Xenopus tropicalis: one gene and its partner. The protein of the gene in region 2 purifies or fractionates together with the protein of the main gene of each other region. This does not show direct contact. Links are inferred from orthologs where the notes say so. Each region holds a gene or a part of one and is shown on either strand. Other genes may lie near its edges.

The links. The genes of interacting proteins can lie anywhere in the genome.
Region 1: the proteins of rab13 (region 2) and gdi1 purify together in Homo sapiens (affinity purification with mass spectrometry; 4 studies listed by BioGRID and IntAct, counting the BioPlex papers as one, with this or other methods). This does not show direct contact. The link is inferred for Xenopus tropicalis from reciprocal best matches to the Homo sapiens genes RAB13 and GDI1.

Annotation. Positions count from the first base shown.
Region 1 is NC_030684.2:142,341-146,397, forward strand, and holds the start of gdi1 (rab GDP dissociation inhibitor alpha), read left to right. Parts: upstream 1-1,256; 5' UTR 1,257-1,350; coding exon 1,351-1,395; intron 1,396-4,057. UniProt on the Homo sapiens protein: Regulates the GDP/GTP exchange reaction of most Rab proteins by inhibiting the dissociation of GDP from them, and the subsequent binding of GTP to them. Promotes the dissociation of GDP-bound Rab proteins from the membrane and inhibits their activation.
Region 2 is NC_030684.2:143,558,460-143,561,973, forward strand, and holds part of rab13 (ras-related protein Rab-13), read left to right. Parts: intron 1-88; coding exon 89-149; intron 150-428; coding exon 429-506; intron 507-1,448; coding exon 1,449-1,538; intron 1,539-1,708; coding exon 1,709-1,774; intron 1,775-2,379; coding exon 2,380-2,430; intron 2,431-2,518; coding exon 2,519-2,593; 3' UTR 2,594-3,514.

The DNA of each region.
Region 1 (4,057 bases), about 140 Mb from region 2:
CAATGAGAGAGGGGTAATTGGATAGACAACAGGCAGAACTCTCAGTGAGAGCAGGGTAATTGGGCAGATAGCAGACAGGACACCCAATGAGAAGGGGTAATTGGGCAGATAGCAGACAGGACACCCAATGAGAAGGGGTAATTGGGTAGATAACAGGCAGGACACCCAATGAAAGAGGGGTAATTGGGCAGATAACAGGCAGGACACCCAATGAGAGAGGGGCAATTGGGTAGATAACAGGCAGGACTCCCAAAGAGAAGGGGTAATTGGGTAGATAACAGGCAGGACTCCCAATGAGAGAGGGGTAATTGGGCAGATAACAGGCAGGACTCCCAATGAGAGAGGGGTAATTGGGCAGATAACAGGCAGGACTCCCAATGAAAGGGGGGTAATTGGGCAGATAACAGACAGGACTCCCAATGAGAGAGGGGTAATTGGGCAGATAACAGACAGGACACCCAATGAGAGAGGGGTAATTGGGCAGATAACAGGCAGGACTCCCAATGAGAGAGGGGTAATTGGGCAGATAACAGGCAGGACACCCAATGAGAGAGGGGTAATTGGGCAGATAACAGGCAGGACTCCCAATGAGAGAGGGGTAATTGAGCAGATAACAGGCAGGACACCCAATGAGAGAGGGGTAATTGGGCAGATAACAGGCAGGACTCCCAATGAAAGGGGGGTAATTGGGCAGATAACAGGCAGGACTCCCAATGAGAGAGGGGTAATTGGGCAGATAACAGGCAGGACTCCCAATGAGAGGGGGGTAATTGGGCAGATAACAGACAGGACTCCCAATGAGAGAGGGGTAATTGGGCAGATAACAGACAGGACACCCAATGAGAGAGGGGTAATTGGGCAGATAACAGGCAGGACTCCCAATGAGAGAGGGGTAATTGGGCAGATAACAGGCAGGACACCCAATGAGAGAGGGGTAATTGGGCAGATAACAGGCAGGACACCCAATGAGAGAGGGGCTATTACACAGATAACAGCCAGTGCCCCACCCTCCCATCTTTAGCCCCCCCAGTATCCCTTGCTGGGAAGATGCAGACGCGGAAGGATCTATTTTCACAGCCGCATAACTAAGGTCACACGCCCTCTTCCTTATTGTCCCTCTGTGGTGTCTGTGGGCCCCGCATGGGGGGCTGTTAGGGACTAAGTGAGACGGTGCCCGGCAGTGCAGCTCGGTACTAGCGATACTGGCTGTTGGGGGCCGTAGGGTGGGGCAGGGGGTGGGGTTAGAGGAAGGAACTATTTGCTGGCGCGGAAGGAGACAGGGCGGTGAAGCTGTTCCTCCATCTTTGGTCCAGCTCAGCTTCCAGCTCCGCACTCTCCCCTCACGGCGCGATGGATGAGGAGTACGATGTGATCGTGTTGGGTACCGGCCTGACGGTGAGTGGCCATGGGGGCCTGGCTGGGTACTGGGGGGTCCTACTCGCTCTTTTATTCTGGGGCCCCAGGAAAGGCTTCAGGGGGCAGTTACACGGGCTGGAGTGGGTAGTGCCTGGGGCAATTACTGTTATAGGCCTAGTAATGCCCTATGGGTATGGGGGCAGGGCCCCTCACTGTCAGCTGGGGGCATTGATGGGATGTATGGGGGCACTGACATGTACTGGGGGGAAATAACATGAATACAGGGCCGTGCCACTCTCTGGTACAGGCTGGGGGCACTGACACGTACTGGGGGGAAATAACATGAATACAGGGCCGTGCCACTCTCTGGTACAGGCTGGGGGCACTGACATGTACTGGGGGGAAATAACATGAATACAGGGCCGTGCCACTCTCTGGTACAGGCTGGGGGCACTGACACGTACTGGGGGAAATAACAGGAATACAGGGCCGTGCCACTCTCTGGTACAGGCTGGGGGCACCGACATGTACTGGGGGGAAATAACAGGAATACAGGGCCGTGCCACTCTCTGGTACAGGCTGGGGGCACTGACATGTACTGGGGGGGAAATAACATGAATACAGGGCCGTGCCACTCTCTGGTACAGGCTGGGGGCACCGACATGTACTGGGGGGAAATAACAGGAATACAGGGCCGTGCCACTCGCTGGTACAGGCTGGGGGCACTGACATGTACTGGGGGAAATAACATGAATACAGGGCTGTGCCCACTCTCTGGTACAGGCTGGGGGCACTGACATGTACTGGGGGGAAATAACATGAATACAGGGCCGTGCCACTCTCTGGTACAGGCTGGGGGCACCGACATGTACTGGGGGGAAATAACATGAATACAGGGCCGTGCCACTCTCTGGTACAGGCTGGGGGCACCGACATGTACTGGGGGGAAATAACAGGAATACAGGGCCGTGCCACTCTCTGGTACAGGCTGGGGGCACCGACATGTACTGGGGGGAAATAACATGAATACAGGGCCGTGCCACTCGCTGGTACAGGCTGGGGGCACTGACATGTACTGGGGGGAAATAACATGAATACAGGGCCGTGCCACTCTCTGGTACAGGCTGGGGGCACCGACATGTACTGGGGGGAAATAACATGAATACAGGGCCGTGCCACTCGCTGGTACAGGCTGGGGGCACTGACATGTACTGGGGGGAAATAACAGGAATACAGGGCCGTGCCACTCTCTGGTACAGGCTGGGGGCACTGACATGTACTGGGGGAAATAACATGAATACAGGGCCGTGCCACTCTCTGGTACAGGCTGGGGGCACTGACATGTACTGGGGGGAAATAACATGAATACAGGGCCGTGCCACTCTCTGGTACAGGCTGGGGGCACTGACATGTACTGGGGGGAAATAACAGGAATACAGGGCCGTGCCACTCTCTGGTACAGGCTGGGGGCACTGACATGTACTGGGGGGAAATAACAGGAATACAGGGCCGTGCCACTCTCTGGTACAGGCTGGGGGCACTGACATGTACTGGGGAGAAATAACAGGAATACAGGGCCGTGCCACTCTCTGGTACAGGCTGGGGGAACTGACATGTACTGGGGGGAAATAACATGAATACAGGGCCGTGCCACTCGCTGGTACAGGCTGGGGGCACTGACATGTACTGGGGAGAAATAACAGGAATACAGGGCCGTGCCACTCTCTGGTACAGGCTGGGGGCACCGACATGTACTGGGGGGAAATAACATGAATACAGGGCCGTGCCACTCGCTGGTACAGGCTGGGGGCACTGACATGTACTGGGGGGAAATAACATGAATACAGGGCCGTGCCACTCGCTGGTACAGGCTGGGGGCACTGACATGTACTGGGGGAAATAACAGGAATACAGGGCCGTGCCACTCTCTGGTACAGGCTGGGGGCACTGACATGTACTGGGGGGAAATAACAGGAATACAGGGCCGTGCCACTCTCTGGTACAGGCTGGGGGCACTGACATGTACTGGGGAGAAATAACAGGAATACAGGGCCGTGCCACTCGCTGGTACAGGCTGGGGGCACTGACATGTACTGGGGGGAAATAACATGAATACAGGGCCGTGCCACTCGCTGGTACAGGCTGGGGGCACCGACATGTACTGGGGGAAATAACATGAATACAGGGCCGTGCCACTCTCTGGTACAGGCTGGGGGCACCGACATGTACTGGGGGGAAATAACATGAATACAGGGCCGTGCCACTCTCTGGTACAGGCTGGGGGCACTGACATGTACTGGGGGGAAATAACAGGAATACAGGGCCGTGCCACTCGCTGGTACAGGCTGGGGGCACTGACATGTACTGGGGGGAAATAACAGGAATACAGGGCCGTGCCACTCTCTGGTACAGGCTGGGGGCACTGACATGTACTGGGGGGAAATAACAGGAATACAGGGCCGTGCCACTCTCTGGTACAGGCTGGGGGCACTGACATGTACTGGGGGGAAATAACAGGAATACAGGGCCGTGCCACTCTCTGGTACAGGCTGGGGGCACTGACATGTACTGGGGGGAAATAACAGGAATACAGGGCCGTGCCACTCTCTGGTACAGGCTGGGGGCACTGACATGTACTGGGGGAAATAACAGGAATACAGGGCCGTGCCACACTCTGGTACAGGCTGGGGGCACTGACATG
Region 2 (3,514 bases):
TCCCCCCTAGGCCCAAACTGTACTAATGGCACCGACGTGTTTATGGGTCGGTCTCCGTTTCAGTACTTGACCCAATTCTCTCTTTCAGGGACACAGCAGGGCAGGAGAGGTTTAAAACAATCACAACGGCCTATTACCGGGGGGCCATGGTAAGTGGCACATTTATCTGTTGCTATGGGACCCCTGCTAGTTACAAACAGACCAAGTCTGTGTAAGGGGTAACTAACCAACTGCTGAACTACAATCAAGGATGCTGGGAGTTGTAGTACAGCGGCAGCCCAAGGGCCACTGGCTATAGGTGCTTGTGGGGTTGTGAGATGCACCAATGAGAGTTAAGAAGCTGAGCTGGGTACAAGGGTCTCGGGTTATATGTGGGACTGTGGTTGCTGGGAGTCGCTGGTTCTGATGGTTCTGGGTTTCTCCAACAGGGGATTATTCTGGTCTATGATATCACAGACGAGCGATCCTATGAGAATATCCAGAACTGGATGAAGAGTATTAAAGAGGTAAGTAGAGCCGGGGACACCCCTCTGTGTGATAGAAAATCCTTATGGTAATCAGTATGGCAGCTCCCAGCCTTAACTGTCAGTACAAATATACAGATTCCCCCTTACTAACGGCCCCGGGGTCCCCCTTACTAACGGCCCCGGGGTTCCCCCCTTACTAACGGCCCCGGGGTTCCCCCCTTACTAACGGCCCCGGGGTTCCCCCCTTACTAACGGCCCCGGGGTTCCCCCCTTACTAACGGCCCCGGGGTTCCCCCCTTACTAACGGCCCCGGGGTTCCCCCTTACTAACGGCCCCGGGGTTCCCCCTTACTAACGGCCCCGGGGTCCCCCTTACTAACGGCCCCGGGTTCCCCCTTACTAACGGCCCCGGGGTTCCCCCCTTACTAACGGCCCCGGGGTTCCCCCCTTACTAACGGCCCCGGGGTTCCCCCACACTAACGGCCCCGGGGTTCCCCCACACTAACGGCCCCGGGGTCCCCCACACTAACGGCCCCGGGGTCCCCCACACTAACGGCCCCGGGGTCCCCCACACTAACGGCCCCGGGGTCCCCCACACTAACGGCCCCGGGGTCCCCCACACTAACGGCCCCGGGGTCCCCCACACTAACGGCCCCGGGGTCCCCCACACTAACGGCCCCGGGGTCCCCCACACTAACGGCCCCGGGGTCCCCCACACTAACGGCCCCGGGGTCCCCCACACTAACGGCCCCGGGGTCCCCCACACTAACGGCCCCGGGGTCCCCCACACTAACGGCCCCGGGGTCCCCCACACTAACGGCCCCGGGGTCCCCCACACTAACGGCCCCGGGGTCCCCCACACTAACGGCCCCGGGGTCCCCCACACTAACGGCCCCGGGGTCCCCCACACTAACGGCCCCGGGGTGCCCCCTTACTAACGGCCCCGGGGTGCCACTAATGCCCCTCCCTTCTGTGTGCGCAGAACGCGGCGGCCGGGGTGGAGCGGATGCTGCTGGGTAATAAGTGCGACATGGAGAACAAGCGGAAAGTCCCGAAGGAGCGAGGAGAGAAGGTCAGCGCCGTGTGTGATTGTTTAATAATGAGCAAAATGGCCACTTTGTCTTAAATGTGTTGGGGGCGGGGCTTGGGGCCAAGTAATAATGTGTGTCCCCCAAAGCCTCCTGAGTGGCCAATCAGCTGTCTGTCTGTCTGTACCCAATCATCTTCTCTCTCCTTCTCCAGCTCGCCAAGGAACATGGCATCCGATTCTTTGAGACAAGTGCCAAGTCCAGTCAGAATGTAGATGAGGTTAGTACCAGGGACTGCTAATATCCTTATCATTTACAGTAGGGGGTACATTATCCCTTATAATACATGAGTGATACTCAGAGTTCCCTGTATAACTCAGCCTGCAGCCTTGTGCCTTTATATGGAGGGCACAGAACCCCTCAGTGACTGCTAATATCCTTATCATTTACAGTAGGGGGTACATTATCCCTTATAATACATGAGTGATACTCAGAGTTCCCTGTATAACTCAGCCTGCAGCCTTGTGCCTTTATATGGGGGGCACAGAACCCCTCAGTGACTGCTAATATCCTTATCATTTACAGTAGGGGGTACATTATCCCTTATAATACATGAGTGATACTCAGAGTTCCCTGTATAACTCAGCCTGCAGCCTTGTGCCTTTATATGGGGGGCACAGAACCCCTCAGTGACTGCTAATATCCTTATCATTTACAGTAGGGGGTACATTATCCCTTATAATACATGAGTGATACTCAGAGTTCCCTGTATAACTCAGCCTGCAGCCTTGTGCCTTTATATGGGGGGCACAGAACCCCTCAGTGACTGCTAATATCCTTATCATTTACAGTAGGGGGTACATATAACCTGTATGTATTTTGCAGGCATTTAATACACTGGCCAGAGATATTCTAATGAAGATCTCCAAGAGATCAGTAAGTATATGGAAGGATTTTGGAACAAAGCTCCGCCCCCATTGCCCCCCCCCCCCCCCGATTCTGACTCCTCCCTGTGTTTGTTTAGGCGCCGGGAGTTAAGGACCCGCTGGATCTGAAAAGCTCATCGAAGAAAGGAAGCAACAAGTGTTCGGTGCTTTAATGTGGCGGAAGTGGCCGTCGGGCCCCAGTCAGACTATGGGGAAAGCCAAACGCCTCTGAGCGAACCCCGGGGCCCCACTGTGAAAAGAGGAAAATCTCGGGGTCCCCCCCCTGTTTTCAGGACTATATTGGGGGAATCCAAGCACCACAGGGGTGTTATATCTATAGATTCTAGTAGCAAAATGTCCCCTGCTGGGGGCCCTGAGCAGCGACTCTGCTGCCCCCCGGTGGCGGCTGCCGGAACCCCCTCCTACAGGGGTGAAAGGAGAAGAGCGCAGTTTCGGGGGGCAGAAGGGCCCAGAACTTTGGGATATTCCATGTATGTTCTGATTCGCCCGTGGAAAGGCAACGCTAACGGAATTACGTGGGGTCCTACGAGCACGAATTCAGGGATTTCATAGGAATTATTGTGTTTCCCAACATTCTGTTATTTTGCCAAAAACCACAAAATGGCCGTTCTTAAAGGGATACTGTCGCCATTATAGGCAGTTTCATTCCATAGAATCATATTTTATTATAGATATATATAGTGATAGTGGCATTCTGCATTTCGGCATTTTATTGGCTGGTGAATCACGTGACTAGCTCTACTTCCTCTCCGGCTAAGCACAGCAGCCGCCACCTTGCTTTATGGCTGGGCCATTAGAATTCATAGCAATAGTCTGTCTGTGAGAGAGAATTCAGCCTTCTTCTACCAACTCTTTTTCAAAGGGGGGTCACTGACCCCGGCAGCCAAACCCTATTGCTCTGTGAGGCTCGCTGGTTGCTAAGATAATTTGAGCCCTAGCAACAGTATATCTGACCCCGGCAGCCAAACCCTATTGCTCTGTGAGGCTCCAGTTTTATTGTTACTGTTACTTTTTATCCCTTATCTTTCTATTCGGCCCCTCCCCTATTCGTATATCAGCCTCTCGTTCAAACA